4 linked regions of the Arabidopsis thaliana genome follow. The protein of the gene in region 2 purifies or fractionates together with the protein of the main gene of each other region. This does not show direct contact. Each region holds a gene or a part of one and is shown on either strand. Other genes may lie near its edges.

Evidence for each region.
Region 1: the proteins of PUR2 (region 2) and GSH1 fractionate together in Arabidopsis thaliana (co-fractionation; one large-scale study listed by BioGRID). This does not show direct contact.
Region 3: the proteins of PUR2 (region 2) and IMPL1 fractionate together in Arabidopsis thaliana (co-fractionation; one large-scale study listed by BioGRID). This does not show direct contact.
Region 4: the proteins of PUR2 (region 2) and AT3G53580 fractionate together in Arabidopsis thaliana (co-fractionation; one large-scale study listed by BioGRID). This does not show direct contact.

Annotation. Positions count from the first base shown.
Region 1 is NC_003075.7:12,100,735-12,110,870, forward strand, and holds GSH1 (glutamate-cysteine ligase), read right to left. Parts: upstream 6,962-10,136; 5' UTR 6,391-6,961; intron 6,032-6,390; 5' UTR 6,018-6,031; coding exon 5,692-6,017; intron 5,522-5,691; coding exon 5,371-5,521; intron 5,202-5,370; coding exon 5,094-5,201; intron 5,017-5,093; coding exon 4,924-5,016; intron 4,745-4,923; coding exon 4,661-4,744; intron 4,542-4,660; coding exon 4,473-4,541; intron 4,383-4,472; coding exon 4,312-4,382; intron 4,228-4,311; coding exon 4,159-4,227; intron 3,905-4,158; coding exon 3,811-3,904; intron 3,685-3,810; coding exon 3,595-3,684; intron 3,504-3,594; coding exon 3,423-3,503; intron 3,329-3,422; coding exon 3,236-3,328; intron 3,150-3,235; coding exon 3,069-3,149; coding exon of another isoform or gene 3,045-3,068; exon of another isoform or gene 2,971-3,044; coding exon 2,901-2,970; intron 2,813-2,900; coding exon 2,724-2,812; 3' UTR 2,627-2,723; exon of another isoform or gene 2,365-2,626; intron 1,574-2,364; 3' UTR 1,401-1,573; downstream 1-1,400. Other genes in the region: AT4G23090 (uncharacterized protein), read right to left, coding at 1-36, 118-240, 336-382, 458-516, 637-749.
Region 2 is NC_003070.9:3,191,024-3,197,939, reverse strand, and holds PUR2 (Glycinamide ribonucleotide (GAR) synthetase), read left to right. Parts: upstream 1-2,895; 5' UTR 2,896-3,003; coding exon 3,004-3,277; intron 3,278-3,389; coding exon 3,390-3,763; intron 3,764-4,118; coding exon 4,119-4,649; intron 4,650-4,737; coding exon 4,738-5,157; 3' UTR 5,158-5,372; downstream 5,373-6,916. Other genes in the region: SK41 (shaggy-like protein kinase 41), read left to right, coding at 57-197, 294-344, 614-709, 1,157-1,240, 1,323-1,425, 1,738-1,826; AT1G09820 (Pentatricopeptide repeat (PPR-like) superfamily protein), read left to right, coding at 5,526-6,916.
Region 3 is NC_003070.9:11,141,365-11,148,311, reverse strand, and holds IMPL1 (myo-inositol monophosphatase like 1), read right to left. Parts: upstream 3,541-6,947; 5' UTR 3,452-3,540; coding exon 3,152-3,451; intron 2,969-3,151; coding exon 2,901-2,968; intron 2,791-2,900; coding exon 2,657-2,790; intron 2,559-2,656; coding exon 2,470-2,558; intron 2,370-2,469; coding exon 2,312-2,369; intron 2,247-2,311; coding exon 2,194-2,246; intron 2,102-2,193; coding exon 1,889-2,101; intron 1,803-1,888; coding exon 1,701-1,802; intron 1,611-1,700; coding exon 1,512-1,610; 3' UTR 1,390-1,511; downstream 1-1,389. Other genes in the region: PP2-A9 (phloem protein 2-A9), read left to right, coding at 994-1,389; IMD3 (isopropylmalate dehydrogenase 3), read left to right, coding at 3,650-4,044, 4,114-4,225, 4,297-4,461, 4,536-4,622, 4,702-4,818, 4,915-5,022, 5,107-5,313, 5,401-5,469. UniProt on the Arabidopsis thaliana protein: Phosphatase acting preferentially on D-myoinositol 1-phosphate (D-Ins 1-P).
Region 4 is NC_003074.8:19,861,514-19,868,606, reverse strand, and holds AT3G53580 (diaminopimelate epimerase family protein), read right to left. Parts: upstream 3,977-7,093; 5' UTR 3,824-3,976; coding exon 3,548-3,823; intron 3,442-3,547; coding exon 3,274-3,441; intron 3,197-3,273; coding exon 3,126-3,196; intron 3,026-3,125; coding exon 2,968-3,025; intron 2,865-2,967; coding exon 2,685-2,864; intron 2,597-2,684; coding exon 2,512-2,596; intron 2,390-2,511; coding exon 2,330-2,389; intron 2,229-2,329; coding exon 2,155-2,228; intron 1,817-2,154; coding exon 1,700-1,816; 3' UTR 1,473-1,699; downstream 1-1,472. Other genes in the region: AT3G53590 (LRR receptor-like Serine/Threonine-kinase), read left to right, coding at 1-6, 98-149, 276-526, 644-778, 902-1,228; FC1 (serine/threonine-protein kinase AFC1), read left to right, coding at 4,482-4,649, 4,801-4,975, 5,078-5,104, 5,232-5,385, 5,469-5,517, 5,630-5,744, 5,963-6,054, 6,175-6,331 and 4 more.

The sequences.
Region 1 (10,136 bases), on a different chromosome or scaffold from region 2:
GAACCATCCACTCAAGTAAAGTATTCTCCCAATACCCTATATATAGCCAAGCAGAATCAGAGAAACAATTGGAAACTAAAAAAGCTTCTATTGAATGATTAAGACTAAAACACTTACCATGCGGTTTCCTCGGATTGGTAACGACACCAAGTTGGCTCGTGAAACGCATCCCCTCCCTGACAAGATGTAGACTGCCTGACGAGAAGCCCTAGAAATATATGCCAGTACACTGACAATTTCCTGTTGGTCGAGGTTCAAAACATCTCTTTTAGAAAACTCAAGAGGAGAAGAAGTTGTATGGAAACAGAACTAATGGAGGAAAATAAACTACTTACGGCTCCATGCGGGATCACTAGGATTCTGCGTGCGGTGGGTGGTGACACTACAAAGAGGTGAAAATGACATTTTCAAGATCCCTCAAAGAAACCCTAATTTTGAAGATTGGAAATATACTTACGAGGAGGCGGCATATTACCCAATTGAATCACCTGCTCTCCTTGGCCATTACCATTTTCTCTGTGATGATTGAAGAAAAAGAGATCATTATATATATTGTTTAGATTCAAGACTCCAAGATTGATAAATACAAGAAAATATAAATTGTAAATAAGAAAGAAGAAGAAGAAGAAAACAGACGTTGTTGGCTGATCCACTGTAATCGAAGAGTTCTCGCTCATGTTTTTCCAAATCGTTAACTTAAGCGGAAAGAAAGAAATTGAAGTATGGAGGAATGTTGCCTCAATCGGCATTTATAAGTAAATCAATCAAAAGTAGAAACAGTGAGAAGGGGAAATATATTTAGGCTAGTGAAGAAACTAATTAAAGAGTTGCTTTCTAATTTTCTACACAATAAATATTTTGCACGGATGCAAATTTGACTATCCTTTGTTTGACTGTTTTCATAGTATATCTGAGAAAATGTTCAACCTAATAAATATTTAGAAGTCAAATAAGTTTTTATCCAATTCTATTAATAGGAAAACGGATGACAACCTCCTGGATCATTTCTTAGTATTTGTCATCACTCTTCCCCTGAATCATTGATCAACCTGACAACCTCTATACCAATTCAAAAGATTGTCTCCCATTTGAACTAATATTTTCATATACATGAAAAATCCTATTACTGTAGCCAAGGCACTTTTGAAGCTAATGATCAGGTAGGAGAAGTGATTTCAACCCACTGTTGTAATACATGATTGCATAATCAAAACCAATCTATGGAATCCACATTTGAAATATTTTGGCCCGTTTTAAAATATTTTTTTGGTAACGTTTTTTAACGGATTTTTGATTTCTGCAAATTTTGGCGCGCTTTCCACTTTCAAACTGAATTTTTGAAAGAATCTAAATGGCATGCGATCATAATTAACACTTTTTAAGATGTAAGATCCTTCATATTTCATAACCATAATTAATTTGATAGACAATAAATGATTGCATAATGTTCCACTGTTGTGATAGATGATTGCATAATCAAAACCAATCTATGGGACAAAGCCACATTTGAATTATTTTACAGATCTATACGACATATTCGAACTTAAAAAAAAAACAATAAAAACAAACAAAACTCAGTCGTTTTTAAAGCCAGTCGCTAGTTATAGTCGCAGCGACACTTAAACGAACCGGCCCGAAGTCTCTCATAAAAATTGCGATTGCGTTTACATGTTTACCTAATATATTAAATTCCAATTTAAATGAAAGAAATCAATTTTAATCAATTTCCTTTTTAGCAAATTGTTTTGATTTTTTATTTTTTTTTGGTTGCCATAGACGACATTTGTTAGGTTGTTTCAAATATTGGACTTAAATTTTAAAATTGAAAACAAGCAAGGTTATGTGAAAAAGCAATTGGTTTACAGTTTAAGGTTTAGGAAAAATAAGACTAGAAGCAGATTAAAAACATTTGATCTCAAAAACTAGAAACGTGCCAAATTAAAGTATCAACGAAATACATGGAGATTTTAAAAATTATGATCTCTTATGTAGATTACAGTTTTAACGGACATAAAAACGTTGACGTAACATACATGAATGAAAGGTGGGTATATTAATTAGGTAAGGCAGTGTGTGGACTGTGGAGACTCGGTTTTTCTCACTCTCATCAGTCATCACTCATCATTTTGTAGGGACGCCTTGGTAGGGTTTACATATTATCCTGTCACCTAAGTGCCACTATCTTCTTGTTTTACGATAATTACCGACGGCCAGGATCATCGTGTTGTAATCAGTTTAGTTTACGCGGAGTCTGGTGGATTCAATTATGAAAGCAGTGTTCTTCACTAGCCAAAACCTATTAAAGGAAAAGCTCGTAAATGTCTACATCGAAGATGCTCTCCCATTTAGAAAAAAACATACATTGCCAAATTACTAAACATCAAAACTTTCCACTACACAGCCTAGATTATCCCATCCGTCGCCTTTGCCTTGAAATCAGTTTTGAGTTATTTCGTTAAATGTAGACAAATTTGTGACAAGAAAAATGGGTAATTTATTCAAGATCCAAACACACCCTCCCAAACGATTTCCCACACCGAAATCGTTTAGTACATACAATTTTTCTTCTGCTTTTCAATGCTTCGAATTTCTAAAACAAAATCAGTTTTTAAAATCCGATTACAACAAAAAAAAAAATCCTTATTCCGGAGACTCGAATTCTTCAGATAGCATAAACTCACACCCAAAGGTTTATAGACACCTTTTGTTCACGTCCCATTTTCTTAGTACAGCAGCTCTTCGAACACGGGATCTACGCTTTGTCCCCATTCTCCATTGTACATCTCCAAGAGCTTCTCCGCAGGCGTAACTCCTGTCATTTCAAAACCAAATTTCACCACCAGGTTATCAAACAAAATGTCGGTGTGGAATTCAATTATGCATTAGGAAACTTCATTTACCTGTTCTGACCACTTCATCGACTGCGTTCAAGAAACCGGCTTCCTTGTAGCCTCTGCGCTCTAAACCATCCTGAGAAACAAAGAGAAAATAAGTCCAATAGTTAGAAGCTGGACCAGACGGGATAGAAAGCTGGCTCGAAGTTTCTAAGAGGGTTCATACAAACACACCTTTGCGAGTTTCAGGACATCTTCAGCGACATGCTTTAACAAACCATCCCTAAAAGGAGTCTTTAAGCCAGTAACTGGGACCTGTTGGAAATCAAGTATTAGTTTATTACAAGATGTTTTCTAACTGTGGAATAAGAAAATGTAAATGTGGTGCGTCTTGTTATTACTTTGTTCCTTAGCATCTCTCTCTCTGCTGGAGTCCAGTCAGCTGTCAGATCCAGGATAGCTTGGAGACTATCATCATCATATAATAAACCCACCTGAAATTTGTAGATAAAATCAAAACAACAGTCAATACTTTTTGAAACATTCTCATTAAGCACGAAATATATATGTGCTAATAGATGTAGTTACCCAGAAAGCTGGCAGGGCACACAGCCTCCTCCAGGGACCTCCATCAGCACCTCTCATCTCCAAGTATCTCTTCAACCGAACCTAGTGTTATGGAACGTTGTCAGACTTCAACATAAGACAGGGAAATGAAAGTCATAGGCTGATTGAAAGACTCTTGAGGCAGATGATTAACCTCTGGGAATATTGTTGTCAGATGGTTTTCCCAATCATTATATGAAGGCAGTTCACCAGGGAGACAGGGAAGTTTTCCAGCCAAGAATTGCTGCAGCATGAAGAATATTATGAGATTAGATATAATTCAAGAAGATCCCATGGTTTTCAATTTGCCAATTCCTTGCAATGAAACAGTTATAGAACCTAACAGAAAAGATTAAGGATAGATTTTGACCCGAAATGTCATTCCAGTACAGTCGATGTATTTGTTCTTTCTGTAGGCAAAGTACATAGGGACATCGAGTGCGTAGTCAACATACTGCTCAAACCTATACCAGATAAGAACAAAAGAGAGCAATAAAATTAAGATTAGCCATGCTGTTTCAAGAGAAGGATAAAGATCCAAAGCATCTTTCTATCTTGAACACAAACATATGTAAGAAAATCCACAGAATAGCACATATCAATTTTCCAATAACTCATCAAGAATGCGAGACAGAGTCATTGGTTTTTGAGAAGCTTCTCATACCAAACCAACCAATGTAATGTAATTGTTTTTCATAGATTAAACATCGATACTCACCCAAAAGAGTCATCGAAAACAAATGGTAGCATTCCTGTGCGGTCCTTGTCAGTGTCTGTCCATATGTGGCTGTCAAAACATACCAGAGTTATAAGGTGGGAGGGAAACTAATTCAAAAAGATATCGGGGATCATAACAACTGAATCTAGATACCTTCTCATGCTGAGAAATCCGTTTGGCTTTCCTTCTGTAAAAGGGGAATTCGCAAATAGAGCCGTTGCTATCTGTTGAATTTAGATAATAGTGAGGCAATGGTTAGTCAAAATCGTTAATAAAAGTTTCTGGTTATGCCACAAAGAGATCGAGCTTCTCACAGGTTGTAAAGCAAGACCAGCACGAAACTTCCTGATCATATCAGCTTCTGAGCTAAAATCCAGATTAACCTGTCAAGATTGCAAGTAATGCAGTTTCTATAAGTTTCAAAATAAGATTATTGATGAGAACTGGAAAGTTTAGTTTAAGGAAATTATGAAAAGGCGCAAAGTCAGAATATTAATCTAACCTGAACAGTACACGTTCGGAGCATCATATCAAGACCAAGGGTACCAACTTTCGGCATGTAGTTTCTCATAATGTCGTATCTCCCCTGCACAGAACACATTACACTATGTCAAATCTTACTGCCTGACTCGTCATAGGAAAACTTAACACAAACACCAAGAAATAATCCGAACGTTGGCTATGTAGAATCAGATAATATTATCTGAATTAGAAACAAACAGATGTTAACTTTCTTCAATCTTAAGAATAGAGAAAGCGTCATACCTTTGGCATGATGGGTATATCCTCCCGACGCCATTTGGGCTGGAAGCCAATTCCTAAGAAACCAATTCCCATTTCCTCAGCAACTGCTTTTACCTGTGACATCCGTAGATAGTTGGTTATTTGTCACGTTTTAGGGTGAGAGCATTGGCAATAATTATCTTTGAAATTACCTGATAAAGATGTGAATTGACTTCAGCACAAGTTTGATGCAAAGTCTCAAGAGGTGCACCACTAAGCTCGAACTGACCCCCAGGTTCAAGTGAAATGCTTTGCTTTCCCTGGTCAACAAAAGGACAGAACGAGTTATCTACAGCAAAAAAAAAAAAAAGACTGAAACCTTATAATATACCGATCATTGTGTTGTATATGAAGCTAACATGTTCTACAGGCTGAAAATGTATATAAATAATAAACGGCTCAAAAGATGAAACACAGGAGAATGTTAACCTGCTTCAGACCAATGATCTTGTCACCTTCCATTACTTTTTCCCATTCAAATCTTTCAGCGATACCATTAAGAAGCTCGGCTATTTGATCATACTTCATAGGGCGCAAAGTATTGACCTCAAAACCAAATTTCTCATGTTCTGTACCTATTCTGAAAACTCACAATGTTAAGTTAGCAAAACAGAATATTTCTCCAATAGACAAACAATCTGGATGAATTCAAACAATACCAACACCGTAAAAGAGCACAAACAAAGAAATATGTCACAATTACAAACACTAAGTAGCATTTTAACAGAACATATAAGCATCAAACTGTACCTATATTTGTCCTTTGTTTTGCATCCAGAGGCAAGATAGGCAATGAGATCCTCTCTCGTCAACGGCTCAGTTGCAACTACAGCCTCTTCCGTTGGAGGACTTGCCGCAACAATCAATTGATGCCCTCTCTTACTCCTCTTAACAGAATGGAGAAGCATTGATTTGGTAGATAGACTCCTAGAGTAGGAGCTACCAAAAGCTTCTTTCATCCTCAAAACATCCAAATTCCTCACGCCACCCGAAACAACAGCTTTAGTTCCAGCCTTTGAACAAACTCCAGAAGGAACAACAGTGTATGATCCTCCTGCTTGAGACAAGAGCGCCATGGTATATATAGCTCCTGCAATTATAACAATTCATCATAAGCTATGAGAAATCACAAATAACTGCATTTTTCTCAATTCTAATAACATATATCACATAATTAGAATCAGCAGCTACCACAGAATTGAACTATCATCTGGAAGAACAAATCAAAATTCGTGTATCACCAAACCAGAAACAACAACAACAACAAAAATCAAATCAAAGCAAAAATCTGCAAAAATTCGACTCTAACAAAACCAAAATCATGCAACAGCCAAAAAAAAATCATGAGAAAAAGCGAAGATTCAACCAAAAAAAAAAAAGCAGAACAAATCAATCAAAAACCAAAATCCACAAGTCCAGAAAGCGAAGAAGAAGAGAAGCAAATCACACCTGAAATTCGTCAAGCTTGACGGAGATTGAGAGACACCGTCGAAATCAAGAAGAAAGCTTAAAGAGCAAAAACGAATCGGCGTTTCAAATTTATATGCGACTGAGAGAGAAATGAGAAACTGATAAAAAAATGAAAGAAAGTTGATCAGTGGAGCATGAGCCGATCAGTGGAGCTGAGCTGTCTATAAAAGAAAGTTGATAAAATTAATAATCATTGTAATAAAAGATTCTTTCGTTTTTTGCCTCTTACTTTTCCATTTCTCACAAATTTAACCCTAATAGTTTTTTAAATAACCAGTTTATTAGTAGTTTAAACAAAGGTTAACTTTATAGTGTGTATAATGAATTAATGATATTTCTATTCTTTATAGTATACTTTAAACGAGGTTTAACTTTACGATATTTAATTTAGAACGTAAAATAATGAAAAGTGTGTCACTAACCAACCACATGACCTCAGATAAAATACTCTATAGGAAAAGAAATATATATACTACTATAAAAAACAGTATCATTATCTATTTGGTTTGATTGTGTCGACAAAAAAATCTTGGTTCTGATGAACGAAAATTGGCGTTATGTTTTTATATTTCCTACTTCTTAGTAGGTGGAATCAAATCCTGCTTTTATAATCAACAATTTAATGATACAAAAACATGTGAATGGTAGATAATGAATCACCATCAAAAGTTCTACTTGTGTATAATAATATATATAGATACGGGATGGATTTGACAATATCCCAATTATAACAATGGAAGGCTATTTGTCTATATTGTTCATGGAATAGTATGGTACCATGGTGGTCATTTACCTTATTTTTAGAAATAACTGTATTTTTAGTAGTAAACACAATTATGGCTATATATCACCTAATTTCTCTATCTGAGTTTGATTTTGTATTCGTGACAAAATCATAGTAAAACAAGTTTAGAAATTTTGTTTACTATTTGGTAATCTACAAAATCCTTCAAATTCCATGGTATTTTTCACATACTTTCGAGAATTTGGTTTTCTCAAAATGAGAAAAACTAATTATTGTGTTAAGTTTTTTTTTTTTTTTTTTTTTGAATGTTATAACACATTTGAGTTTTGTTATAATTTAAAATCTTAAAATTCGAGCTTCGTTCTAATTTCATTATATCGCACAGATTGACTCTATCTTTTTTTTTTTTTTTAATTGACTCTATTCAAATTTTACTACAAGATCCATTATTGTGTTACATATCGATACTCCTATGAATTATGAAGCTGTGCTAAAAAAACATGTGGCATTAGTAATTTATTTATTTGATATCAATTATGGCTGCCATTGAAAAACAAATAGATGCAGAATTGCTTGCGTTTGCATATACGTAACGTAAGTAAAAACTAAAAACTCTTGTAGCGACAAAAATAGAAAAACAAAAAAAACTCTTGTAATTGTGCACTTCTATGTTGTATGTTTAAATTAATATCAAATATATTTTATCGAACACATGAATGAATAAGTTATAAGAAGGTAAGGTAGGTGGACACGTGCGTGACTCAAAAATGGCGGCCATGACTTCTAATCTCCACACCACCAAAGCCTTAAACGGAACCCACCTCCACAGTTTCTTCCTATACATTCGTCACTCACAAGTCACACCGTTTCAACTTTCACGAAAACTTATCTAAAAAATAATAATTAACATTTGACATAATGGAAAATCACATTAATATATAGCCGTCAAAGAGTGAAGTCAGAAATCCTAAAACGATACGGAATTAAGCTGGAGTGTGCTATGCAGACTCTTTCAGTTAATCTTTTCCTTTATATTCCAACCTTAACGTTTTCTAATATCCACGAGAAACCCTAAACTTTCGATTTCACATTAAAGACCCCAATCCTCAGCACAAAGTAACTAAATGCATCAGACATAGTAGCTAGCTATTTGCGCTTATAATGATTTGAAGTTACCAAAAGATTTTCTTCCTAGGGATTAAGAGAAAAGTAACATCTGGGATTGTCATGGCAAGCCCAACTCATAAGTCTCACCGAAGCCCAACTACACATATTCTTAATATGGCCGAAGAGGTAGATGATACACAATCTTGAAAAGTTGTTCTAAGTGGCTGTTGGTGTTGGATTCTCACATTTGAACTCGGCCTATTCAAGGCCCATAAAGAAAGCTTATATAGGTAACATCGAGCTACAACATTCCGGAGCTTCATGACTCTCACCAGGCCCAAGTCACATCAGTTTAGCTCGTGATGGCCCTATACAGTTTGAGCAAGTCAAAATAAAACGGGCATATCTAACAAATTAAAAAGGAAACGTTAAATTGGTAGACATCGAGATGGGGACGTTATGATTTGCATGGATTGACTAAGGAGGTCGTATAGACCAGGGTCACTTCTTTCTAGAAAACAAGCTAGAAAATAGATCAAGAGCCTTTTTTAATTCCAATCTTTTATCTTTGTAAATCAGTTCGATTTTCATACTAATCGACTGATATTAACCTCGATTCTTTCTCATGATTTAAAACCACCATAATGGATATTGACATCGACAGTGACGTAACTCAGTGTGTACCGATAAAAAGATTGTACTACAAGAGTGAGGGCCGGGGCATATTCAACAGCCGAAAGAATGAAAATCAATCAAAACTTTAAGAGATTATGTGTCATATACTCATATTATGTGAAATCCATCTCAAGACAGTTCATCGTTCATTTGTTCTAACTTCTAAGACATATTTTAAAAGCTTTATTGGTTTTGTCTTATAATTTAGATTTAAAATTATTCTCTTATTGTTGAGTTTCTAGTTTTTCTTTTTATGCTTCTATGACTAGAAATACTTTACTTATAAGTTAAAATATATATTTTTAAAATATAATTCGAATTCATTGAACTAAGACAATTGTTAAACTTGTTCGTTTAGGTTAAATGGTTAAAGAGATATTTGTCTGATCATAGAAGAATAAAAGGGAAACAATGACTATATAAGGAGTTTAAAAAAAAAATGTAATTTGAAGATAAAAACGAAAAAAATAAATAAATTAATGTCTTGAAATGTATTTTATATAATAAGATAAAAAAATTCATTTGATCTCCATAATCCTTATTTAGATAAAAACAATAATGAAAAAATCATTTTTATTAAAAAATACCAAATTAAAAAACAATCATATAAAGAAAAATCTTATTTTCTTTGTTTAAAAAATCTAATACCATATACATTTACTGCCAAAATCTTTTCCTAACAAAGTGTTTACAAAATTATTATATTCAAATGTTTGGTAGCTAATGTTTATAATTCTAAAGTATAAAAAGGTAAGATATCTGACTACAAAATCTTTTCCTAATTAAGTATTGTAGACGGATTTTTTACCCTTTTTTACTTTTGACTTAATAAATAATTATGAAGAATTTTTTTTTTCAATTAGATAATTAAATTAGTTAATAATTTGTAAGAATTGAATCTTTGAACTCTATCATACAAAGTTAAACTATTAAAAATAAATTTTACAAAAATTATTGTATCGCACCAAATTTTAAATAGAAAAAATTAGTTTAGAGACTTCTGATTCGGTCCAACAAACGGTACGATTTAAAATTACAACATTAATCTAATATCTTTCTTTTTCGTATTTTAGGAGCGAAACAAAGACAAAAATTTAAAGCTGTTACCATCCAATTTGAGGGTTGTAAAAGCAAGGAGAAAAATCTATATATCTAGAGTCCTCCAAAGACACTTATAAGTTCTCACACACAATCTTTT
Region 2 (6,916 bases):
GACACAGCTTTTAACGAATTCATTCTTGGAGTATGACATGTTCTCGTTCTCTGTAGGTAAAAGGAGAACCCAATGTTTCTTACATCTGTTCTAGATACTATCGTGCTCCAGAACTCATTTTTGGTGCCAGTGAATACACAACTGCAATTGATATATGGTCCACTGGTTGTGTGATGGCCGAACTGCTTCTTGGACAGGTTAAAGCATGATTTTTGCATTAGCTATATGTTGTTCTATTCATTCAGTTTATTCCTTGTCTTACTATTTTGTGCCCTTGCTAATTTGTCGTACAGCCTCTGTTTCCTGGTGAGAGCGGAGTTGATCAGCTTGTTGAAATCATTAAGGTAGCCTTTTATTAATTCTTTAAATTTATCTAAAATCATCAAGTCCTGATAAAGTGATAAGTTCTTTTAGAACTTTTGTTTACGTAGCAGACAGGTGCAGATTGTCAACTTTATATCTGAATGATTATTAGGCTTAGGCATCACAATTTGTTACGTCTATTGTTGAGTTCGTATTCAGTATAGAAGAAAGCAGTAACCTTTGGATTGCTCAGTCTGATTTCGAGGAAACCTTGGTTTTCTTATTTCATTTGCTTTGATATGTCATGCAGGTTTTAGGTACACCAACAAGGGAAGAAATCAAGTGCATGAATCCAAACTATACAGAATTTAAGTTTCCGCAGATAAAACCTCATCCATGGCACAAGGTATGCCTTCTAATGTTATTGATTATCACCTACCAGAATAATCTTTAATCAGTGGTTTTGTTGGTGAATGCATTTTTTCAAAGAGGAGTTCTGGTATTTGTGATGGTTTGGAGTATGAATCATTCAAGAGTAAATATCAAAAATAAAATTAATGTTGTCATTTCCTCTGCTTTATAAAACTATCTGTGGTAGAGTTGAAAACAATTGGCTAAATGATTGTGGCTTTAGTTCTAGTTTGAGTATTTCTCTCTGGTGGAAATGGTTTTCAGGATTTTGTTCTCTGACATTCTACAACTTGGTGGTTTGCACTTTGCATTAAGCTGTATCTAGGATTTTTTATTTTCCCATAGTAAAAAAAGGTTTAATTGACTTCAGTGATAATTATCTCCTTGAGCTTCGCTTCTCTCTGAATCCTTATTACTGCATGAATATTCTATTTATGCTCAGGTGTTCCAAAAACGTTTGCCACCAGAAGCAGTTGATCTTCTTTGTAGGTTCTTCCAATATTCCCCCAATTTGAGATGTACAGCTGTAAGTTAATTCGTTCCGTTCCCTCCATATTAGCATCTAATGATCTAAATTCATTAAAAACACTCTTCTGGTGTTATTGTAGTTGGAAGCTTGTATCCATCCGTTATTTGATGAGCTAAGGGACCCAAACACTCGTCTTCCCAATGGCCGACCACTTCCTCCACTTTTCAACTTTAAACCGCAAGGTACAGTTCCCTTATTTTTCTTGTTGGGCCTATTAAGAGATCTAACATATGTAGTATGCTCCGTTAAGTTGTTGACATGTTGCGTTGTGTTCATGATTGGTAATACATATAAACATCATTCAGTGTTAGTATATGCTCTTTGAATATTGAGGATGCTAAATAAATTGAACAAGTATGGTGCCGTTGTGGCCTCTGAAATATATGATTACTAAGCAAAATATATAAACACTTTGTTCTCCATAGACATGAACCTGTCATCCTTAACTTTCAGTACTTCAAAATCATGAACTGAGGTTTTATGTGTTGTTGCAGAGCTATCTGGCATACCTCCTGAAATCGTGAACAGGCTTGTCCCAGAGCATGCCCGTAAGCAGAACCTCTTCATGGCTTTGCATTCGTAAGACGCTTATCGGTTTTTGCATCTGTATAAGCAAGCTCTCTTGATATCAATATTTGGAGCAGCCAGTTTTCAGCCATTTGGCTTTTGTTTTTGGTGAGTTCTTTTTCTTTATTTTTTTTCTGTTTGGTTGGTTATATGTCGATGAGGATGCATGAATACAAACAGTACTTGAGGTTTGCTGGTTACAGACCACTTGTTTGTTTCACGGCCACCATATAACCTTATCTATCGCAAACTGTTTTAAAGCATGTAAATTACTAACCAAAATTAATTGCATCGTTTAGTTTTACAAATAGAAAAGAAAAATCAACTAAAAATTAATGACTTTGCCGCTCATGTGTTTGCACATTGTGTTTCTGTGAAAATCAAACCGATTCCTTCGTGAAAATAGCCGTGTCTTCCTCCAGATCGTGAATTTGGTACTTCATACTTACCGGTCAAAAGCTCAGAAGCAATATTTCAGTCATGGCGAACCGTATAGTATATATCAAGGAAAACCTCATAACATAAACAAAGGTTCAGAACTTCAGACAAAACCTGTTTTAGATGACAGAGTCATGGATCAATCTCAGCCCAACAACATTAAAACTTTTCAGCCCATCAAACCCACCAAGTTTAAATTTCTTTTCTCTCTTGAATCTTGATCCAGTAGCTGATCCGACAACGTTTTGATGTTTGGTCGAAACAGTTGAAGTCTCTTCCTCTTAAATGTGATTATCAATTAAAAAATATTATTTGACCCAAGATACATGGGTATTGGGCCTCCAAAAGTTTAAGCTTTTTAGTAACAAAATTAGGCCTCCAAAAAAATTTGTTATTGCAAAACTATATCCTATATTCTAAAATTTTAATATTTAGTCTCCATTTTTAAATTTATCTATTTTTTATTTTCTAAAAGTTATAGGATTTAGTCTTAATTTTTAACTTTTATCAACAAAACTCATTAAAGAAAAAATTATTTTGTATTGGGCCTTATCAGGACCGGCGTCTACAAATAATAATAGACAACAAAATTACACATACAATGAAGATGTTTTATTGGTCACGATTTGATTTGGTATTTATTCTTTAACTACCAAAAAAATAAGTAAACTCAAAAACAAGAAGGGAGGAACCACTTTAAACCCTTGTCTACGCTGGTCCGAGTCCAGAGTCCTCTACTTTGACAGTCTCCCTCCATGTCGTCGTTGTGTGCATCTAATTGCTATCCTTCATCTTCTTCTATCAATCTCTTCTCCAACAACAACAACCCAACTAAACCCTTTCTTCTCTCCCTCAGATTCGCCTCCTCCAATTCTCTTCCATTTGTTGCTCCTCTCAAATTCTCTACTACCAATCACGTCCTTAGTAACTCTCGTTTCTCTTCGAACCGAATCCAAAGACGCCTTTTTTTGCTCCGATGCGTTTCAGAAGAATCTCAGCCGTCTCTTTCTATCGGTAACGGCGGCTCTGGTAAATACCCTTTTGCTCATTATGAATTAACAAACTTGGTTGAATGTTATTGTAAAGATATCGAATTTGAACGCCATTGATTATATAGTAATATCGATTTCGATTTCTGCAGAAGAGAGAGTGAATGTTCTTGTAATTGGTGGAGGAGGGAGAGAACACGCCCTTTGCCACGCCTTGAAGCGGTCTCCTTCTTGTGATTCTGTGTTATGCGCACCTGGAAACGCCGGTATATCCAGTTCCGGAGATGCCACTTGTGTACCTGACCTTGACATATCAGACAGTTTAGCTGTCATCTCTTTCTGTCAGAAATGGAATGTTGGTTTAGTGGTTGTTGGCCCTGAAGTGCCTCTTGTTGCTGGTCTCGCTAATGACCTTGTTAAGGCCGGTATCCTCACCTTTGGCCCTTCTTCTCAAGCTGCTGCTTTGGAAGGTTCCAAGAACTTTATGAAGAATCTTTGCCACAAGTACAATATCCCTACTGCTAAGGTTTGCGTCGCTTTCTCTTTTTCATTTATCCCTGATGGTTACCAATTTCTTCCCTTGCTGTGTTAGGATCCATAAGGTTGCTATGTAAAGATTATAAGCTTTGAAGTGTTCAACTGTTAGCTATAGGTCTGCTTTAATCTAGCCTAGTACTTAATGTAGCAGGTTATAGCTGTTGTGAGTTGGTTAGAGAGCGGTTAGTGAGTGCTAGGTGTACTATGGTTTGGTTGGCTATGTGGTTGAGGGCTCGGTAAATCGGTGGAATAAAAGTAGTAGCAGATTCGTAGCTTTGATATTATCTTAAGGATTCCAATTTGATGTGGCTAATACGGTATTATTGAATGGAATTCAAATGCAGTATAAAACATTTTCTGATGCATCTGCCGCGAAAGAATACATTCAAGAACAAGGGGCACCGATTGTGATTAAAGCGGATGGATTAGCAGCTGGAAAAGGAGTCACTGTTGCCATGGAACTAGAGGAGGCTTTTGAAGCTGTTGATTCTATGCTGGTCAAAGGTGTGTTTGGTTCTGCAGGATGTCAGGTGGTCGTTGAGGAGTTTCTCGAGGGAGAAGAAGCGTCCTTCTTCGCACTTGTGGATGGAGAAAACGCCATTCCTCTAGAATCTGCTCAGGACCACAAGCGTGTTGGAGATGGAGATACCGGTCCTAACACAGGCGGCATGGGAGCGTATTCTCCTGCACCGGTCTTGACCAAGGAGCTTCAGGATTTTGTGATGGAGTCTATAATCCATCCCACTGTTAAAGGAATGGCTGAAGAAGGATGTAAGTTTGTCGGCGTTCTGTTTGCGGGTCTCATGATCGAGAAGAAATCCGGTTTGCCTAAGCTTATTGAGTTCAATGTACGGTTTGGAGATCCAGAATGTCAGGTGAGAAACGCCACCTTTTCTGAAAAAACCTTGTTTAGTCTCGGTATGATTATTGCTCTAAACAATGCAGATTATTGCTTAAATACAGGTATTGATGATGCGTCTAGAGTCTGACCTAGCAAAAGTTTTGCTAGCGGCTTGTAAAGGCGAGCTAAGTGGTGTATCACTTGATTGGTCAAAAGATTCAGCAATGGTGGTTGTAATGGCAAGCAATGGTTATCCTGGTTCTTATGAGAAAGGATCAATCATCAAAAACCTTGAAGAAGCTGAAAGAGTTGCTCCTGGAGTGAAGGTTTTCCACGCAGGAACGGGTCTAGATTCAGAGGGGAATGTTGTAGCAACTGGGGGACGTGTTCTTGGGGTCACGGCGAAGGGTAAAGACTTGGAAGAGGCGCGTGAAAGAGCGTACTCGGCAGTACAACAGATCAACTGGCCTGGAGGTTTCTTTAGGCATGATATTGGTTGGAGAGCTCTTCGCCAGAAACAAGTGGCGACCAAAGAAGAGTGATGAGAAGGAATTTTGTTGTAATGGCTTGTAAACCAAGAATCCAAAAACTTAAAACTCACTCCAATCTGTTAAGAGATGATTCAAAATAACATTTTTGTTTACATAATTTGTGTCAAGATAAGCAATGTAGGTTAAACCCCTCAAATCCACTTCAAAGCACAAATGATGAACTTAGGAAGCAGCAGACACTCTGATCTTTACGAAGTTTCAGTGGTAGTTTCGTAAAATTTCGCAAAGAAACATCTGAAATTGTATATTGTAAAGTTTGAGGTCGAAAATAAAACGAAAGAGAGAGATGCCAGTGGGTGCAAAATTCACAAACCCTAAATTTCAAAATCCCAAGTCTCCTTCCTGTCCAGCACGAATCAATGTTCCCCAAATCCTTAGCCGTAAGTAGAAAAAACTCGAATTTAACAAAAGGAGTCTCTGGTTTAAGAAGACTCTGTTCTTCTTCATCTACCATCACCGGGAGCCCTTGCCCACCTAGATATGACGTAGCTGTCATCGCTGATCTCATAGAGAAGCAGCACTGGTCAAAGCTCGGAGTTCATGTGACAGACATAAACCCTAACGAGCTGTTTCGACAGTTGATAAGTTCTGAGCTTGACCCAGATTTGTGTCTCAGGTACTATTCCTGGTTAGTGAAGAACAGTGACATCTCTGTTTCACTTGAGCTCACATTTAAGCTCTTGCATTCTCTTGCCAATGCGAAAAGGTACTCAAAAATCCGATCTTTCCTTGATGGGTTTGTGAGAAATGGATCTGATCATCAAGTTCACTCGATTTTCCATGCAATCTCTATGTGTGACAATGTTTGTGTCAATTCGATTATAGCTGATATGTTGGTATTAGCTTATGCGAATAATTCGAGATTCGAGTTAGGATTTGAGGCGTTTAAGCGTTCAGGTTATTATGGGTATAAGTTGTCGGCTTTGTCTTGTAAGCCTTTGATGATTGCGTTGTTGAAGGAGAATCGTTCTGCTGATGTTGAATATGTGTATAAGGAGATGATTAGGAGGAAGATTCAACCAAATGTGTTCACTTTCAATGTTGTGATCAATGCGTTGTGCAAAACTGGGAAAATGAATAAAGCTAGGGATGTTATGGAGGACATGAAAGTTTATGGGTGTTCTCCAAATGTAGTTAGTTACAACACTCTCATTGATGGGTATTGTAAGCTTGGTGGAAATGGGAAAATGTACAAAGCAGACGCGGTTTTGAAGGAAATGGTGGAGAATGATGTGTCTCCGAACTTGACTACATTCAATATATTGATTGATGGGTTCTGGAAAGATGACAACCTTCCGGGGAGTATGAAGGTGTTTAAAGAGATGCTGGATCAAGACGTGAAACCGAATGTGATCTCGTATAATTCATTGATAAATGGTTTGTGCAATGGAGGAAAGATCAGCGAGGCTATTAGTATGCGCGATAAGATGGTAAGTGCAGGTGTGCAGCCTAACCTAATTACTTACAATGCTCTTATAAATGGGTTTTGCAAGAACGATATGCTGAAGGAAGCTCTTGATATGTTTGGCTCAGTGAAAGGCCAAGGAGCTGTTCCCACTACTAGAATGTATAACATGCTTATCGATGCGTATTGTAAGTTAGGCAAAATCGATGATGGCTTTGCACTGAAAGAAGAGATGGAGCGGGAGGGGATTGTACCAGATGTTGGAACTTATAATTGCTTGATTGCTGGTCTATGTAGAAACGGTAACATAGAAGCAGCTAAGAAGCTTTTTGATCAGTTGACTAG
Region 3 (6,947 bases), 8.0 Mb from region 2:
AATAGACTCCAGCTCAAAACAGAGCAACGATCGTACAGAGGAGGGGCGTTTTGCCTGATGACTCACCATAGCCAGCTACACAGCATCTGCCATATTCTAGACTGTTCCATATCTAGCTCCTTCTACAATGTCTATAAAAGAGTAGTGTAAAACCCTAATGTAATTATTGAGAAAGAAACGATTTTTTTACCAAAAGCTTGAAACTTTCTCTAATCGTTTCAGCAATGAGTGAATAATGAGATTATTATAAAAGAGATACAACTTGAGTAAATGAGTAAAATGATTATGAGTCCAAAAGAAAATGGAAAAAAGAGAAGGAAAGAATAAGCTTGGCACTTGAAGAAAATTTATGTCATTTAATTGCTCTGTTTGATTCTCAGATTCTTTATTCACATTAAGACCAACAAGTTGTGGATATATGCTTTCCCTCTCGTTGGCCGTTGAAGCATTTTTATTAACTTTGTCCCTCCAACGAAAGAAAAGTCAGGATTTTGTGTAAATTACTTATTTTTCCTTCTTCTGTCACAATCTTACTTTGAATTTTTGACATGAGAAAATAAATACTCTACATAAAGCTCATTTCGAGAGATATGGTTTTGTTATTTCTCTACTGTAAAAAAGGCAAATCAAGAAATGTCTTCACAAAAGAGTTCGCATCATAAGGCAGACTCCAAAATGGAACAAGATGTGAGTTTCTTTTCTTTGCTATTGAAGATAATTTGCAACATCTTTTTAAATGAAATCACCAAACTTTGATTAAAAATGTTTTATCTTGCTTTTGTATTTTCCTTGTTAAATTCTGCAGAACAATAGAAAAGCATGGATTTCACAACCGAGTGGTCTTAACTTTGTTTGGGGAGGTGACTCGAGATATTGGGTTATCCCTAAAGAACCAAGGTATCATCCGATTCATTCCGACTTAACCGATAAACCCAACTTTGGTTTACTGATACCAAAAATCTTAAACTGATTCATTTGATTGTTGGTTTTAGGATGCCTGCTGAGCTGAAGATGGTGAGTTGGTTAGAAGTAACCGGTTCATTCGACAAGATTGAACCCGGGAAAACATATCGAATCGGTTTTAAAATCTCGTTTAAACCGGATGCGACCGGTTGGGACAAAGCCCCTGTTTTCATGTCTGCTAAAATCGGGAAGAAAGGCAAGACAGTGTGGAAAAGAATCAAATCCGTTAGCCAGAACTTTGGTATACTGAAAGGTGGATCAGAACCCGTCAATATACCTGACGAGTCCGATGGCCTGTTTGAAATCTTGGTTAGTCCCACAGCGCTTAACCAAGATACTAAGCTTCAGTTTGGTCTGTATGAGGTGTGGACTGGACGATGGAAGACAGGTCTGTTGATCCACGAAGCCTTTGTTCAAGAAGTGTAAGGGGGAATATGATCATTATTGATTTTCATAATCCGAACGCAAATCTTATACCTCGTTTCAGTTCAAATATAAGAGCTTTAGATCATAACAATGTAATCTTATATACCTTTCTTGAACAAGTCTTAAAGCTCTGTATGATAATCTTCCGGTTTGAACCATAACGAGAAATCGATTCCTTTCGACTTCAAATTCTCAGTTGCGGGTGCAATTCTTTCCAGAAGCTACACCGATTAAACAAAAAATATGTGAGACCTGATCTCTAAGCACAACAGATTAAAAGCATTGATAAAAGTATGAACAGTTCATGAAACCTTGGGGTGAAGAACGCCGTTGGAGACCAAAACAGACCTATCAAACACAGAAAACTTCCCTCCGTCCATCCGAGTCACAGCTCCTCCAGCTTCCTCAACTATCTGTGTCCATTTTCTGACATGGATTAAGCTCTACAACTTAAGTACTTTAGTAAGAAAAAAACAACAAGAAGGATGAAGAAGACTACAAGAACACCAGCAGCCATGTCCCATGGCTTTAAACGGTACTCCCAATATGATTCCGCAATCCCAAGTGCAACATGACACATGTCAACTGCAGCAGCACCGAGTCTTCGCACTCCCCGACTCACATCAGTAAACTCTTTGAACAGTTCCATGTTAGTGCTCCATGCATCATCATGTTCATAACCAAACCCTGTGATAAGAAGTGCTCTCTCCACCTTCATTCAAACCCGAATAAATATCTAATAAACCAAAACCATTGAACACACCATGTCGAAACTTAAAATTGGATTCTTGATAAGTTACTTACAGCATCGGTCTTACTGACATGAATTTTTTGCCCGTTACACAATGCTCCACCACCTAAGAAGTGAACTAGTTAGACAAAATTTAGATATATAGCCAAACATAAGCTTGTCACATAGTACCTGCAGTTGCAGAAAAGGTTCGAGTGTTCCAGCACATCGGACCACCGACAAACTCTACCTGCATGATGAGATTTTGTTGTTAATCCTACTGACCAAAGAATCAGCAAATAGGAACTAACAAGCATTAGCTGGTTTGTGCAAGTATATATTGGATTTACCACAGAAGCAGCGGCGGGATTTCCACGATACAGAACACCGACGGAAACAGCAAAACTGGGATATCCATGAGCAAAATTTGTAGTTCCATCTATGCATAAAGGAATTAAGAGACTAATACTAAAAATCTCAGAGATTCCACACAAACACATGAAAAGAAAGCAATGAGATTTGTAAAGAGAGCTAAACCTAGAGGATCAATGCACCAGAGGTAATCAGAAGACGAATCGCCGATGATACCTCCTTCTTCACCAAGAATAAGATGATCACTAAAATTCTTCTTCACTACTTCCAAAATAGCAGCCTCGCTTGCTTTATCAGTACTGCAAATTCATCAAAAGTACTAAAACTTTAATAGCTTCAACCAATCAAGTCAACATGAACATAGTTAAAACCTCAAGCTAACAATTTTAAAAGGTGAAGAAGTCCTTACTCAGTTACTAAGTCACTGAGACCTTTATAAGTAATATTCCTTGGCTTATTTACAGCTTCCATAACCACCTAACAAACCAGATGATTCAATTCAAGTTAGTTTTGTTATTATTCTCCTTGTGCAGTTGTGCCCTACGAACCCAAGAACTTGATTCTAGTACCATTGAACACAATTTCAAGTCTCATCAAGAGTTTTTGTTTCCAATAAACATAAATTCAGATATTGTATTCTACAGACATGAAATTTCGAACCTCAGCGCCGGTTTTAGCGGCGAGTTCAACGACTTCAAGGAGGTGTGCCGGAGATATAGTTCCGGTGGTTTTAGCGCCGATTCTGGGATATCGCGTCTGATCAGAAACCTCAGACAGAACAGCTTTGGTTTGAAGTCTCGTTGTGGACTTGAAGCTATTAGACAAAATCCTCGTACACCGATATCGGAAAGTTCTGTTCACTGTCCGGCCTGAAATTGGGTTTTGCAGCGGAAGAGATGATCTGGGTAAGTGAGAGATTCTCAATGACATGTTTCCAGAGAATATTAGAGACCTTCCCATTGTTGGTGTCGCCGGAGAATTTTCGAATTTTTGTTGTTGTTCGGTTTTTGGTTTATATGAACGCGGCCAAGTGAACGGATGGTGGACATGAGAGAGTCCAAAAAGCTGATAGAACTTAAAATTGAAATTAATGAGAACATTGAACCAAAATCAGGTTAACAAATAACCAGAGATAACCGGTCTCTGTAGTATACTCAAATGGTTAGTTTTTGCCGATGGTGGTGCCCTAAACTCGAAAAAAAGATGGCGGCGTTTTTGCAAACTAACATCCGTCTGGAGATCATACCGGGAAGATACAGTTCTCTCACCGATCATAAGTTTCGTGCGCCGTATCGAATTAGGTGCGCCGCCGCTTCACCGGTGAAAAAACGGTATAACATCACTCTGCTTCCCGGCGATGGTATCGGTCCAGAAGTTATATCTGTTGCTAAGAATGTGCTTCAGAAAGCTGGATTTCTCCAAGGACTAGAGTTTGATTTCCAGGAGATGCCTTTCGGCGGAGCAGCTTTGGATTTGGTCGGAGTTCCATTGCCGGAGGAAACTTCCACTGCTGCTAAACAGTCTGATGCCATTCTTCTTGGAGCTATCGGAGGGTATGTGTAATGCGTGTGTGTGTTGTTTCTTCAGCAAATTTATTCTCTTTATGATGATTTTTTGTTCAGGTACAAATGGGACAAGAATGAGAAACATCTGAGACCTGAGATGGGTCTGCTTAACATTCGAAGAGATCTCAATGTCTTTGCTAATTTGAGACCTGCTACAGTTTTACCACAGGTATTGATTTGCTTATCACTTTGCTTTCTAGTTGTAAATATACTCAAATTTTTCTGTTTTTGCTTGTTCAGCTAGTTGATGCTTCCACACTGAAGAAAGAAGTAGCACAAGGTGTTGATATGATGATTGTAAGGGAGCTCACTGGAGGTATTTACTTTGGAGAGCCAAGAGGCATTACGATCAACGAAAATGGCGAAGAAGTCGGTTTTAATACAGAGATCTACGCTGCTCACGAGGTACTACTTACTCTTCACAATCTGCTGCTCTGTGACAATGTATGTGTATTAATGCATTGCTTTATCTTCTTCAGATTGACAGAATTGCTCGTGTTGCATTCGAGACTGCTAGGAAAAGGCGTGGCAAGCTGTGTTCTGTTGACAAAGCCAATGTCTTGGATGTATGTTTTGAATTGTTTTTCCACTCCACTCTTGTGTGTTTTTCGTTATACAATTATTTTTTTGTTTTGTTTCGTATAGGCATCAATATTGTGGAGGAAAAGAGTAACAGCTTTAGCCTCTGAATATCCAGATGTTGAACTATCACATATGTATGTCGATAATGCTGCGATGCAGCTTGTCCGTGACCCGAAACAGGTGATCTTCGCGCATATATAAAGCTTAGCCGTTGATTAAGCTAACACAGAAGTGGAACTTGTAGTACTCACGGCATTTTTAAAAACATTATTGCAGTTTGACACAATCGTCACCAATAACATTTTTGGTGATATATTGTCTGATGAAGCTTCAATGATCACTGGTAGCATTGGGATGCTTCCATCTGCAAGTCTTGGTGAATCGGTAAGTAAGACTAAATCTAATATTTCAAGGTTCCTCTGTTTATTATTATCATATATTGATTGTTAAACTTGTGATGAAAACTAGGGACCTGGACTCTTTGAACCTATACATGGTTCAGCACCAGATATAGCTGGACAAGACAAGGCAAACCCATTGGCCACCATTCTCAGTGCGGCGATGCTTCTCAAGTATGGACTTGGAGAAGAAAAGGCTGCAAAGATGATTGAAGACGCGGTCGTGGATGCTCTGAACAAAGGTTTCAGAACCGGAGACATCTACTCCCCCGGAAATGTATGTGTATGATGATTTCTGTCTTTTGTTTTGTATAAGTTAATGACAATATACTTAAAGAAGTCTTTTTGTGTTTTGAAAATGCAGAAACTGGTGGGATGCAAGGAAATGGGTGAGGAGGTTCTCAAATCAGTGGACTCCAAAGTTCCTGTTTAAGAAAAGTGTGTAGCCCTTGGTTTTACTGTTACTTTTTTGCTAATACATGTATTAGAAACTGTATTCTTGTAGCTTTTATAATAATAAAATATTTGGGATCGATTCTGCAATTCAAAGACAAAATTCTCCAAGAACATTTGACAAGTCTCCTGCCTCAGTACCTTGTTCTTGAAGATTGAGAAGTTCTCGCCAACTACAAAACTCAACATCTTCTTCAATCAATATTTGTTAAACGAATAAAGTTTCAAGAGAGACAAGAAACTATGTTTTTTAGCCGCTAGAGTATTACATTTTTCTACTGAAAAACCAAACTTATAAAACATAACATTTATAAATCCGAAAACAACTATCAATCATCAGGTTAGCCTTTGGATTCACGACGACTTATCAGATTTGCGTTCAGCGTCTGCGGCAGACTGCATTTGAGCTGCATATGGTAAGTTCCAGAGAACATCTTTAAAGGAAGTCTTGCAGAAGGTTCAAGCAAAACACATTTATTGGCGATTGAGATGGCAATTGGGTAAAGACTCCTGCGAGCTTGTTGTTAGGACCGTTGGACTTCCTATTTTCTGTCGACAGTCTTGGCTCCCAAATGACGTCTGCAAATACAACATTGCAGCAACAGCTATTAACAATGATGAAGATTTGCTTCTTTTCTTTACCCTATATGATACCATTTCGTTGAGAAGATAGGCCTCTCCTTTTTGTAGTAGGTACTGGTCCTATCAGAGATTCCAGAAGTATGAATCCAAAGTTGTACACATCGCCCTCTGTTTTAGCCATTTTCCTGCATAATTCCAAAGCTAAGAAACGTGATGAATCGAAATCGTCTGTGGCTTCCTTTAACTCTTCAAAAGAAAATGACCGGAATGAGGGCACACCTTGTGCACCTAGCTTTGCTGCTTGAGAGATTAACCCTGCAAGACGAAGTCGTACAAGGATATTAAATTCCTGAAAGACAATTGCCACCAGGCGGAGGTCTACAATTTGAGTCAAAGTTACTCACTTGCACTAGCAAGAACTTCGGAGGAGAGACTGGTGTGTGAGTTATCTCTGTCACAACCTTAAGCCGAGTTTGAGGCACTGACCTTTCTCTTGAACAACAGCAAGAGCAGCGGTTTATACACACAAGAACAAATACATCTCCACCAAGGACAGCAACCAAAATCCCAATCTTTCTTCCTTGGAACTGTTTTCCCTCAGTTTCAGCCTCTTCGATTACGAATTCTTGATGCTGATCATGACTGCCAATAATGGAAAAGAAACGGGGAGGGGTCCCAATTAATCTGTTATTCGACAAATCCAAGTTTGCCTCCACAGGTCAGATTATGCTGTAGCTTCCCACTGAGCTTGTTAGATGCAAAGTCTAAGTAACTAATGTTTGGCAAAGAGAACAAGAACCGAGATGAAGTTCCAGTCAGATGATTGAACGTCAAGTCAAGATGCTGAAGCTGAGACAAACAACCAAAACTTCTGGT
Region 4 (7,093 bases), on a different chromosome or scaffold from region 2:
GAACAGGTATGTCCTTTTGCATGTGCAGTTGTCAGTTAGCTTTATATCTATGCTCTTCGACTAATCCACATAGGTGTTCTGTTTGGTTCATGCACAGATGCTGGTATATGAGTATATGCCTAATGGAAATGTGCGTGATTGGCTTTCAGGTAAGAAATATTCCTCCCAAGTTCTTTTCTATACATGTAAGATCAGAAACTAGCTTAAAATTTTTGAGGCGCCAATCTGCTTCCACATGGATGCTAATGTATCAGTGGTTTTACATTGTCACGCAGCTAATGCTGCAGACACATTGAGCTTTAGCATGAGGTCACATGTGGCGTTAGGTTCAGCTAAAGGGATTCTTTACCTTCACACTGAAGCAAATCCGCCAGTTATTCACCGCGATATCAAAACCAGCAACATACTCTTGGACTGTCAGCTTCATGCTAAGGTTGCTGATTTTGGATTGTCACGGTTGGCTCCTGCTTTTGGGGAGGGAGATGGTGAGCCCGCCCATGTATCAACAGTAGTAAGAGGAACACCGGTGAGTTCTAAACTAGGACACAAGTCGATATGTGATACTATGTAACCTGTGGCTTTTGACAAAACCAAACATGGTTTCCCTCTCAGCTATGACATTTTGATAATTATACATGCACAGGGATATCTGGATCCAGAGTATTTCATGACTCAGCAATTGACGGTGAGAAGTGATGTGTACAGCTTTGGAGTAGTGTTGCTTGAGCTTTTGACTGGAATGCACCCATTCTTTGAGGGTACACATATTATCCGCGAGGTACTTTTCTTGACTGAGCTCCCACGTAGATCTGATAATGGAGTAGCTAAATCTGTGAGGTTTATGTTTTTTTGAATATATCTACAAATTTCCTAAGAGTTTTTTCTGTACAATGTGATACAGGTGAGGACCGCGAATGAATGTGGAACGGTTTTGTCAGTGGCGGATAGTCGGATGGGACAATGTTCGCCCGATAAAGTGAAGAAGTTGGCGGAATTAGCTTTATGGTGTTGTGAAGATAGACCAGAGACGAGACCACCAATGTCAAAAGTGGTGAAAGAACTTGAAGGTATTTGCCAATCTGTGCGAGAACCCGAAATGTTCTCAGAAACAACGAAATTACTCTGCTCCAAAACATCGCCGTCATCTTCTTCTGTACCCTCGCCATTGTCTTTACTTCCTGGAAGTAACTTGGACAGTGGCTTTTTCCACGCTGTAAAACCTCGTTGACAAATATTTGTGTGAGATAGGCTAACATCAGACTAATGAGAGTTGTGTTATTATACTTAGGAGATATTATGATACCAGTTATGTTGTCCTGATTCCTAACCATATAAGCTAATATCTATGCAGATATGGAAGCTAACCAATCTTATCATGTACATATGCGGTTTTGTATTCTCTCAAGTTTCATTTCTCTTGTCATTATGTGCAACCACGGCCATTGACAATGTCTGGTCTGGTGGAGAATCAGTGTAGAAGAGAGCTATATTCCGAGGAAAAGAAGATTTAAATTATGAACATAGATGCAGCAACAAATCAAAAGGTTTGGATACTCTGAAAACAATAAAAGTACATAAACAAAATCCATGAAACACAATCTAGCAGGACAGGTAAGAGCTTCACACGTTTGAATTAGAACACACAGACCCCAAAAGAACAACAACAGAGAGAGGAGAAGTCATCGACTGTGAAGGCCCATTAGAGCAGCGCTGATCCATAGAAAACAGCTTCTGCAGGACCCGTCATGTAGATATGGTTGTCTTCCTGTTTCCACTCTATCTCCAATGGTCCGCCCGGTAGATCCACCGTGCATTTCTGTTCCACCATAAACCAATACATATATGAGGAACTCAAGGTCACCACATGCAGCTAATCTCAGCTCATGACAATCTTTAAGCTCCAATGAATATCCAAGAAACATTTGTGTGAGAGTGAAGAACCAAAAAAAACGAATACAAGATTCTCCCACAAGAGACGAAGCGAACGAAAAGTACTTAGTAAAATCATAATCTCATCAATCGTCTACCAATCAAATCATCCAACCATTCAATGCAACATTCAGGTTTCATAAAAAATGCTTAAAAACTGCTAATCCAGTGTACCATTTTGCAAACTGTTATCTAGTTTTTTAAGTTCTGAAATTCCAAACTTACCCTGTCGGCTCGACCTTCAAGGACTGCTGCAACAACCAGAGCACAAGCTCCAGTTCCACAGGCCAAAGTTGCTCCTGCAGTTTTAAGTATGCGTAAGCATTAAGCATATAAGGATACAGAGACTGTTTATAATCAACTGAGAATTATATTCGAAGATTGGGGGGAATTTGCGGACCTGCTCCGCGCTCCCACACACGCATTTTCAAATGAGAACGTGATAAGACCTCAACAAATTCTGCGGATACACAGAAAGAACTGTAAGACAACTAAAGGGATATAAATCCAAATATAAGCGAGAAGTCTTGCTGTATCAGTCAATGGAAATCTGGATACATCTGCCGATGAATCTCCACTAACCTGTGTTAGTTCGAGCTGGGAACATTTCATGATGCTCGAACTTTGGACCAATCTCTGGTAAGTTCAAATCATCAACTTTCAGATTCTGGTTGACACAAACCAAAATTACAAATGATAAGAAATTCACGTGTAGACAAATAATATGATTAGAAGTCTAGTAACGAAACACGCACCGGTCCACCCTTTTTACCAAATGTGATACAGTGAGGATTGCCCATACTAACACACGTCACATTCCAGCTTACTCCATCAACAACTAGCTCTGCCTCAACAACAGCTTCACCTTTGTTCCCTGACAATTTCGTGGGCACATCTTGTGCTTTAAGAATCGGTGTCCCCATGTCAACCTTAACCTGTACCAATATCAATCACAAAAAATAAAAATCCAAACTTTACCTTACCCATCATCATGAATACGACTAAACCTAATATGAGACATCAATCCAAATGATCTACCTGTCCGTCATCTTGAATTTCTGGAACAATCAACCCGGCACCGGTATGTATTGTAAAACTACAAAAACAAATAAATAGACACTTAAGGTTACATCAAGCTTGACTAAACTCGGAACTCTCAAGTCTAAACAGATATTTCTCAATACAGATAGAGATACCTATGTTTTCCCTGCAAATTCTCAAGCTCAGCAATGAACCTAGCAAAGCATCGAACTCCATTGCCACACATCTACAAGAACAAAATCAAAAGCCAATGACTTCGAGCGCAACAACATATCACCAGACATTATCATCGAAAAGCCCCACCTCTGGTTCACTACCATCTGAATTGAAAATCCGCATTGCGTAATCAGTACCATTGACTCCTGGCATTGCAAAAATCACTCCATCGGCACCAACACCGAAGTTTCGATCACACAGCTTCGCCGCCTGTTCTTGAGTAATCTTAGGTTCCGATGAGTCTCTGTTATCGACCTACAAAATCCAATTCCAAAGACGAAAAATTTGAAAACATTTGTAAGAATTCGATACATTTCGGGTTAAATTACCAAATTGAGAATTCAACGGTGAACAAAAGTACCAAAATGAAGTCATTGCCGAGGCCATGGTATTTCACAAAGTGAAGAACTCCGGTTTCTTTTTTGTCTAGAAAACTCGCCGGAGAAAATTTCTCAGCTGTGACGGCGTCCATGGAAGCTGCTGCAGACACACGAAGGCTAGGGCTCTTAAAGCAATATTCTTTCTCAAAGAAACCAAACGAAAGAGAAGATACGGATCCTAGATTCCTGGAGAACGCATTCGACACTCTGCGCGATTGTGGCGCGACGGAGACAGTGCTAACGGCGGCTATCTCCATGGCTGCTTCAGATTATTTTTCTTGTTCAACGACTCTCCCGTCTCCTCCATATTAAAAGACTTTGGAGAAAACACCCCATTGTTCTGATATTAAATAACTGAACTCCACGTCGTTTTTATCCTCAACAGTAATAACATCATGTCGTTTCTTTAGTCAACATATATTTAATAAAGGCCTGACTAAAAAAGCCCATTAAGAACTTCCAGAGCCTCTGTCGCTCCTTCGCTGTTCTCTTCCTCAGGTTCTCTCTCTCTCTCTCATTTCAGTCTCTTTCGCTGTTAAATATTTTCTCCTGAGATTTTTTTCTTCAATTCCAATTCAGTGAGCATTTTTATTGTTTCTCCGATCTGAATTCCGGCGATCAAATTACGACAGCGACTAATTCAACGTTTTAAATTACTCTGTGTGAGAGAAATTTGCGGTTAGTTTATTAGCTACATTACTTCCACTTTTTTTAATATATTTTTCTGTTACTTTTCCCACCTTTTTTAGTTATCTTCTGGAGATAGATCCCCCCCAAATTGAAGATAACTAGGGTTTCGAATTTCGGAATCTTATTATCCCTCTAATTAGATTCGAAATTCAATCGCAATTCTCTCGCTGTTCATAATCTGGGTTTCTGAATTTCAGCTCTGGATTTGCATTTTTCTAATCCTTTATGCAAAGCAGTGTGTATCGTGATAAAGCTAGCTCGATCGCGATGATCTTAGAAACTCAGAGGAATGTTGAATTCCCTCATCGGATCGTTGATAAGCGTCCCAGGAAACGTCCCCGATTGACTTGGGATGCTGCTCCGCCTCTTCTTCCTCCTCCTCCTCCACCCACGGTAACGAATTGTCCACATATTGTATTGGTATCAATGGACTGTTCTTTTGTTGTTTTCATAAGATACTGCGAATTGTGTTAACTAGTAAGAAATTAAGATTTTTATTTGTGTGCTTGAGCTAAGTTTCAGCTGATGTGTTTTTTTCTTTCAGGTATTTCAACCTCCGTTGTACTATGGTCCGGAGTTTGCGAGTGGTTTAGTTCCCAATTTTGTTTACCCAAACATGTTCTATAATGGCCTTCCTCGTCAGGGCTCTCCTCCCTGGAGACCAGATGATAAAGACGGCCATTATGTCTTTGTTGTTGGGGATACTTTGACTCCACGATGTGAGTCTTATGTTACAGAGTCTTTCGACATCTTATCTGTTACGTTTCACAGACTTTATCATGGAGGTTTACATTGACATGCCTCTTCTATTGTGCGTGCAGATCAAATTCTCAGCAAAATGGGTGAAGGTTAGTCATCTCTTGCGAAAATGTTTATATAATCATTATGATTAGATTATTCTGTTTTTCAAAGTGTAGGAGAAATATGTTTATTTGGTCGCCAGTTATCTTAATCAATTGGATTGTATTTTGGCAGGTACATTTGGACAAGTATTGGAATGCTTTGATAATAAAAACAAAGAAGTCGTGGCAATCAAAGTTATACGGTCCATAAACAAGTATCGTGAAGCTGCCATGATCGAAATTGACGTGCTGCAGAGGCTTACAAGGCATGATGTCGGTGGTTCTCGGTAAGAATATTTCTTTCCTCTTACTATTTCTTCGCTAGTTTTAATTTTATTACATTTGGTATAAGCTTTTCAATTCCTTGCAGTTGTGTGCAAATACGGAATTGGTTTGACTATCGTAATCATATTTGTATTGTAAGTGCTGTTACCTTTATTTGACAAGTTTGAGGGGAAAATGCAATTTCTTCACGCCCAAATGTTATGTGAGTTAAAAGAACTTGCGCATGGGTTTAAATGGTTTCAACAGGTATTTGAGAAGCTTGGACCAAGCTTATATGATTTTCTCCGCAAAAACAGCTACCGTTCATTTCCCATTGATCTTGTTCGGGAGCTTGGCAGACAACTTTTGGAGTCTGTTGCATGTGTGTGGAATATTCTTGACCCATTCTTCTATATAGTAGTCCATTAGTGCCACAAATCATTTTTCTTAACTTTTTGATACAAGACTTAGGCGTTAATAGTTATTACTTAATGTTCTTTCGATAATGCAATTTCCATGGAATCCATATTGCTCAGACAGTTATTTCTGGAGACTTTTGTTGACTAGTGTACTCAGACTTTGCTCATTCCATTCTGACAGATATGCATGATTTACGGCTGATCCACACGGATTTGAAGCCGGAGAACATTCTTTTGGTATCGTCTGAATATATCAAAATACCTGATTATAAGGTGAGCAATCAATCATCTCCAAGCTGGACTCATTTATTTTCATGGCTAATATGATATCCATCCATGAAGGAACTTGTATAACTCTTGACCCTTTTCCTATGTGTGGTCATGAAAATCTAGTTTCTATCCCGACCCACAAAAGATGGGTCATACTTCAAGAATCTGCCCAAGTCAAGTGCCATCAAGCTCATTGATTTCGGAAGTACAACATTTGAACATCAAGACCATAACTACATTGTATCCACAAGACATTACCGCGCACCAGAAGTTATCCTAGGTAAACGTTTATGACTCTGACACATCTACGTAGATGATTATTTTTTTGTGTAGTCATGGTATTTAAGAGTTTGGAACGTTTATTGCAGGGGTTGGATGGAACTATCCATGTGATCTGTGGAGTATTGGTTGCATACTTGTTGAACTTTGTTCGGTGAGTAACTTTATGTTTGCATATCTTCCGGTACACCACCCTATTCATCTCACCATGTCTCCATCAACGTTTTCTCTGGATTAAACCTTGCAGGGAGAGGCGCTTTTCCAAACGCATGAAAACTTGGAACATTTGGCCATGATGGAAAGGGTCCTAGGACCTTTACCACCTCATATGGTGCTCAGAGCCGAGTAAGAACAATAATATCATCCTATTTGCAGCATCAGATACCAGCAGAAAATAACTTGAACTGTCATTTCTTATATCAAAACCAAAACGGTTCTTGCAGCCGGCGCTCTGAGAAATACTTCAGACGAGGTGCGAAGTTAGACTGGCCTGAAGGTGCGACATCAAGAGACAGCTTAAAAGCAGTATGGAAACTTCCCCGGCTACCGGTAAATAACCTTACATTGGACTTGACATCCGCTTATCTGAAATATTGAAATTAAGGAGACCAGTTTTTTTGCATTTTGCAGAACCTGATAATGCAGCATGTGGATCACTCAGCCGGTGATCTGATAGACCTATTACAAGGTCTGCTTCGATATGATCCAACAGAGAGGTTCAAGGCAAGAGAAGCACTGAACCATCCCTTCTTCACAAGAAGCC